Saccharomyces cerevisiae S288C: one gene and its partner. The protein of the gene in region 1 interacts with the protein of each later gene in a biochemical or structural test. Each region holds a gene or a part of one and is shown on either strand. Other genes may lie near its edges. The genes, in order: FUN14 and OM45.

Region 1 (3,300 bases):
AAATCTACAATTGCTCTACCCTCTTTCTTCATTGTTTTAATTTTGGCGTTGGTCAATTCAGTGGCTGCATCTTCCAGTTATGCACCAGTTGCTATCAGTTTACCAGCATTCAGCAAAGAATGCCTGTACTACGATATGGTTACTGAGGATGATTCCCTGGCTGTGGGTTACCAAGTTCTAACCGGTGGTAATTTTGAGATTGATTTTGATATTACTGCTCCTGATGGATCTGTGATTACTAGTGAGAAACAAAAGAAGTACTCAGACTTTTTATTAAAATCGTTTGGAGTGGGGAAGTATACCTTTTGTTTTTCCAATAACTATGGTACAGCGTTGAAAAAGGTAGAAATTACACTAGAAAAGGAAAAAACTTTGACTGACGAGCATGAAGCTGATGTCAATAACGATGACATTATTGCCAATAACGCCGTGGAGGAAATAGATAGAAACTTGAACAAAATCACGAAGACTTTGAACTATTTGAGAGCCAGAGAATGGAGAAACATGTCTACCGTCAATTCCACCGAATCAAGGTTGACTTGGTTATCTATATTGATTATCATTATCATTGCCGTTATAAGTATTGCCCAAGTTCTACTTATTCAATTCCTCTTCACTGGTCGTCAAAAAAATTACGTTTAAGAACTTTTCAATCTACGAAAAATATATGTCCGCAATATAGAACACAATTAGGTTTATATTCGACGTGATTTTTTTTTCTTCCTTAGCCCTATGTATATTTACTGTATAGGATAAATGAAATACCAAAAATAAAAAAGTATAAAACGAAAGAATATAACCCTCGTTTATATCTGGTCATTTGTCTTGCTCATTTGTTAGCATTTAAACTTGCTAATACGAAACTCAATGTAAAGAATACTTTAAAACCCATGTATTCTGTACCCAATAACCCATCAATAAGCAGTTTCTTCAAGTCTACATCTTTCAAAACAATTACAGATTTGATATTTTTCAAATTAATGCGAATCCATCCCTTGTACCGTAACCATTCACAAAGAAGCATGCTTGTAATACCGACATACATAAACAAAATTGATATCTTAGCCACCGTAACTCCTAAAACAACACCGAATAATGATCCCAAAAACATCTGCTTGTGACTACTTATTTTGTTCCTCCTTTCCTCGGTAATTGCCGTACTGTTGCCCACAGTTGGTTCCAAGGGACCCTGTTGTTTGACAGCTGCCCCTAAAGAATCATTGAATATCAACTTAGAAGGCTGGCGATTCATCAAGTAAAAGCCACCAGCAACTATGCCAGCACCGCCTAACCCTACAGAGCGAGTTAAGGGCTTTCCTAATTTATTGGCGACATTAAACCTCCATAAGGGGACGTTCTTGAACATGCGCTTCCCAACATTCAAATTACGAAACACCAACCGTTGCATATTAAAAGCCAAAGTCATTTTACACCTATTATTTTAAGTTCTTCCTTCTTGCCCCTCTAGCGTTATGCTGTTGTATGTATAATAAGATGCCTTGTTTAACCAATTTCAACAACCCCTAGGTTTTCTAGCACTTGTTGGAAAACTTAAATATGAAATGACGGATTTGTAAAATTTTCACGACACAACAGCTTCACTTCTAATAATGTATAAAATATAATTTATGTGTGAACATAGATGGTTACAATTTTACATAGGTAAATATGACCTCTTATTCGAAGGAAGAAGCCCTCCAACTCTTTCATTCTGATTTAGGTCGGAGTTCGTGCGCTTGTTTGCGTCTTCTAGCACCTTCCCTGGCCCAAAACTCGTCTCTATAAATCTCCCATCCTTCTCTAATCTCTGCACTAAATGCTCTGGGGTTGAGGACTAATTTCACATCCACAGCTCCGATCCTCGGTTGGGATTGTATCGTGACACTTTTCCAAAATTTCACAATGGCATTATCGTCTTTAAGCCACAGAAATTTTTTCAAACAATAAATATTACAATAAGCAATTGTTCGACTCACAAATCTTACTGAATCTGTGTATTTCTCGTCCCACGTAGACTGTACTTTAACTAGCTTCACATTAAACTGCCTAATCCCTTTATTAGTAGAGGTAAAAAATCTTCTTGGAATGACGATAGTTCTTCTATATTGTCCACTGATATGAAAAAGAACTACAGTAATGGAAATGAAAGAAAGAGTGAATTGCAAAATAACCCTATGGAGGCCCTTGACATAATCTGAAGTGAAATAAAGTTCGTAGAAGGTAAATGCGCCTACACCGGCCATAGACGCTAAGAACAAAGTGAATTGCCACTTCAGTATCTTTTGTTCGTGAGCTTGGCGTCTTAAATCATCCTCCAGTATCAACAAATTCCTGAAAATCATCGATGCTGGAGAGATATTACTGGAGTTCCGTATATTCTTCGCACTGGATGTCTTGCTAGTAGAACGCCTGCGAGGCCCGGACACTATACTGGCACTATCATCCTGGGCATGGTTCCCCACATCGCCTATGCTCTCTGGCTCCATGACCTCCTTTATTTAGCTTTCCACTACCTTTCTTCCTTTGTGTGTATAATCAATAGATTTTCGCTAAATTTCGCATCTTCCCTTTTAAGAATAATTAGTATTTAATTTTACTTTGACTTTATTGTTGAGTGAAGAAACAAAGCAAATATACGTTAGGAAAAAGACACGAACAGAGAAGACCGATCTTGATGCTACCCTATATGGACCAAGTACTAAGGGCATTTTATCAGAGCACCCATTGGAGTACGCAAAATAGCTACGAGGATATAACGGCCACATCGAGAACATTATTAGATTTCCGAATTCCCTCAGCAATACACCTGCAAATTTCCAACAAATCTACTCCCAATACATTCAATTCTTTAGATTTTTCTACGAGGTCCAGGATAAATGGTTCTCTGAGTTATTTATACTCCGATGCACAGCAATTGGAGAAATTCATGCGCAACTCTACTGATATCCCATTACAAGATGCCACCGAAACATACAGACAATTGCAACCAAACCTCAATTTCAGTGTTAGTAGTGCGAATACGTTGAGTAGTGACAACACCACAGTCGACAATGACAAGAAATTACTACATGACTCGAAATTTGTTAAAAAATCCCTTTATTATGGTAGAATGTACTACCCCAGCTCTGATTTAGAAGCAATGATAATAAAACGACTAAGTCCACAAACCCAATTTATGCTTAAGGGTGTCAGTAGTTTCAAAGAAAGCTTAAACGTTTTAACGTGCTATTTTCAAAGAGATTCTCACCGCAATTTACAGGAGTGGATATTTTCCACCAGTGATCTATTATGTGGTTATAG
Region 2 (3,977 bases), on another chromosome or scaffold:
ACTTTCCAGGCCCTTTTGTAGATGAGATTCGCCTGTAGCCAATTGCAGGGACCTCAGCATGATAATACCCTTTGTGTATGCCTCAGGATCAAAAATATCGGAGGTTTGAGAATCTATGCCAGTGTTCCGTTGCGCAATCTGAAATATGCTTCTTCCATTAACGTCAGCTGCATCTCTGCACATGGTCGGCTCCACTTGCTGTAGTAAATAAGGTTCCGAGGTCCAATAATGGGATAGGTCACCATTCTGTTCTAGTATGTGGCAAGCTAACCAAGTAGCGAAAGACTCATTAAACCAAAGAGATTCCCACGAGTCAAAAGATATGTAGTTGCCCATCCATTGATGAACGAGTTCGTGGACAATGAGTTGCTGTGCTTGCTCTCTGACGGTTTCATTGGCCAAGGCATTTGGTGGTATGAGCAGGTGGTTTAGTTGGATGGTGATCATACCAAAGTTCTCCATTGCCATGTCACTTAAATATGGTAGTAGGACGAAATCTAACTTTGGCAGAGGGTATGGACATTTAAAATAGGATTCCAACAAAGGTAGATATTTCTGGACTGTATCTAAAGTGAAAGCTGCATTAGCAATATCCCAAGGTGCATAAATTGAAACGGGAATAGTCCTATCACCTTCCAACTTGATTTCCGTTTTCAAAAATTCTAAATCACCAATAGAAAAACCAAATACGGAAGTAGTCATCAAAGGTGTCTTGGCAAATTTCACCAAATGTTTTTGAGAACTATCCAAAGCTTCGACCATCTCTACAGGAGTATTGGAAACGGCTTTATATTGTGCATCCGTTGCAATGTTCAATTGAAAAGTGGACTTGTTTGAAGGCTCGTCAATACATGGGAAAATATTGCTAGCGGAAAACGGTTGGCAGTGAGTAGCAACGACGTGATTATTGGCAGTACCGGTTTTACGATCCATAAAATTGGTTTTGAAAATACCAAAAGTCTTATCATGATGTGTTTTTATGTCACGAATTTTACCCACGTATTGCACGGACAAAATCAGAGGGCAATCGTTGGACAATTGAATAGGAGATTCAGAGTTGAAAATCGACAAATGCTTTCCAGTGTCCTGAGAAATTTTTAGATCAAACTTAGTAGACCCTATGGTGGCATGTGCAGACAACACAATCAAATCCTTGGAATGTAACTTGAACTGGGTAAAACTGTCTTCGATAGAAGCTAAGGTGGTGGAGTTCGGATTGAATTTCAAATGGATTATGGCGGATCCTTTGAAATTGGGCGACGACTGCTTAGGGTCAATTTCTAGACGCAACTCATAGTGACTAGGCACCACCGGATTCTCTAAAGATAACAAATTATCAGACATGATGGTTAGTGATGATCAACCTGGCGTTATATATCCTTTACACGTCTTCGGACCTTTTTTTTGTATAGCACATCCAGGAATGGTTTGACTGCAAAACTCGTTTTTCACTGAAAAATTACCGGCGAATTGTATAATAGAAAGGATCGATTTATACTAAAGAAAAGAAGGATTAATATACAAGACTACAACCAAGGGTGGTACCTCACTTGAAGGGGGTTCTCAAAGTACTCGAGAATTTTGATATTCTGTCCTGTGTGTGCTGAGCCGTTCCAGCCAGTCTTGTTCCAGAAATATGTTGACAAAATTGAAGTTCGTAAATATATATACATTTCATATAATAATTGACAAGCTGATACATACGGTGTGCGGACGGTTACATTAATGCAGGAATCTATAAATGCTATGGCCAGCTGGCGTCCTTCTGTTATGCAGATTTCTTAAAATAATTGGCATATTGGTGGTAAACATGAAATGTGAAGACGTTGCCCCTCGTCATAGGTAAGCGGTGGTCATCACAACCATCAGCGGTGACAATAACACAGCAAACAGTCTTGTTTGACTCTCCTGCCTGCATGGTGTTTGAAAGTGAATCGTCAGGATTTGCAACAACCAATAGTGTACTGCTATTCGCAGGAGCACAAGCTCGCCGGTGGCCCGTGTGGGTTAAGGGAGGAGTTTGTTGACCCTTATTTTGTCGAGTTCCTTGAAGAGGAGTATATATAAGGGGAAACGGTTCTTGCTAAAGTCCTGCTTCTTTGCCCTTTCTTGAAATAAAGGGTATTTTTGATTGGCCAGTAACGTTAATCATTTAATAAAACAAGCAGATAAGGATGTCATCAAGAATAATTGTCGGCAGTGCAGCATTGGCAGCTGCCATCACAGCTAGCATCATGGTCAGAGAACAGAAGGCCAAGGGTCAGAGAAGAGAGGGCAACGTCTCCGCTTACTACAACGGCCAGGAGTACGGCAGTTCAGCACCCCCACAGTTGGGAAAGCTACATAACATAAAGCAAGGCATAAAGGAAGATGCCTTGTCGTTAAAAGACGCGCTTCTGGGCGTATCTCAAAAGGCTAGGGAAGAGGCTCCAAAGGTAACTAAGCGTGTGATATCACCGGAAGAGGATGCTCAGACACGCAAGCAGCTAGGCCAAAAAGCCAAGGATTCTTCCTCGCAAAGCATCTTCAATTGGGGGTTTAGTGAGGCTGAAAGAAGGAAAGCCATAGCCATCGGGGAATTTGATACTGCTAAGAAGCGTTTCGAAGAGGCAGTGGATCGTAATGAGAAGGAGCTCTTGTCCACGGTGATGAGAGAGAAGAAGGCCGCTCTGGACAGAGCATCCATTGAGTACGAAAGGTACGGGAGAGCCAGAGACTTTAATGAGCTTTCGGACAAGCTAGACCAACAGGAAAGGAACAGTAATCCTTTGAAACGCCTGTTGAAGAATAACACGGGTGACGCTAATACTGAAGAAGCCGCTGCAAGAAGTGTCCAAGGCTGGGGTGATACGGCACAGGAGTTTGGTAGAGAAGAGTTGGAGGAAGCCAAGAGAAATGCTTCTTCAGAGCCAAGCGAGGCGCAAAAACGTCTTGACGAGCTGAAGAAGATCAAGGAAAAGGGCTGGTTTGGTTACAACAAAGGGGAGCAAAGCGAGCAACAGATTGCTGAACGGGTAGCCAGAGGTTTAGAAGGATGGGGTGAAACAGCCGCTCAACTTTCCAAGGACGAAATGGACGATTTAAGATGGAATTATGAGAATTCAAAGAAACAACTGGATAAGAACGTGTCCGATGCCATGGACTCGTTATCTAAGGCGAAGGAGGACTTGAAACAGTACGGCAGCCACTGGTGGTCTGGATGGACTTCCAAGGTCGACAATGACAAGCAGGCTTTAAAAGATGAGGCCCAAAAGAAGTACGATGAAGCGTTGAAAAAGTACGATGAAGCCAAGAACAAATTCAAAGAATGGAATGATAAGGGTGATGGTAAATTCTGGAGCTCGAAAAAGGACTAGTTAGATAGCTAATTGTAAAGGGTTGGTTCCCGCATAACATATATACATATTCACATGTTTCTCATTTTTTATATTTGAAATCACATATGGTCTTTGCTGATTATGGATTGGAAAACGGAGTAAATTAGTGGCATTATTGGGGTATACGTGCATACATAAAATACCGTTATATATCTATATATATGGAAAAAAGAGACTTAAATGAATTTTTAGAGTAGGAGAAGAAGGTTGAAGAAATGAACAATCGCGGCCCTTCAGTTTTCTTTATTTGGTTGTGTCTGGATTCATAGAGGTTATTGTAGAGTTTGAATTTGATTTTGAACTTGGATTCGAGTTTGTGAACGCAGGGCTATTTTTGATGTTATTATTAATAGTATTCTTGTGTTTATTAGTATTATTGTGATTATCGTTAACCATGTTGGCAATTGATGGTGGTTGTGCCAGTTGTGACTGCAATTTTTGCTTTAGATTGAGTTTATCTCTTTCAATCATAGTGTTGTCCTCCTCTTCGGAAGAAAACCCTTCACTGCCACTGGATTCCATATGGAATTTGGATTTAGGTTTCCCGATCATAATGTTGGCAGCACTGCCGGGCCTATTGCTGTTTCTTCTTGAACGGGC

Evidence for each region.
Region 2: the proteins of FUN14 (region 1) and OM45 form a complex in vitro, tested with the Saccharomyces cerevisiae proteins (one study listed by BioGRID).

What each region holds. Positions count from the first base shown.
Region 1 is NC_001133.9:135,040-138,339, reverse strand, and holds FUN14 (Fun14p), read right to left. Parts: upstream 1,427-3,300; coding exon 830-1,426; downstream 1-829. Other genes in the region: ERP2 (Erp2p), read left to right, coding at 1-642; Nem1-Spo7 phosphatase regulatory subunit SPO7, read right to left, coding at 1,707-2,486; MDM10 (Mdm10p), read left to right, coding at 2,675-3,300.
Region 2 is NC_001141.2:91,445-95,421, forward strand, and holds OM45 (Om45p), read left to right. Parts: upstream 1-2,174; coding exon 2,175-3,356; downstream 3,357-3,977. Other genes in the region: TMA108 (Tma108p), read right to left, coding at 1-1,344; VHS2 (Vhs2p), read right to left, coding at 3,621-3,977.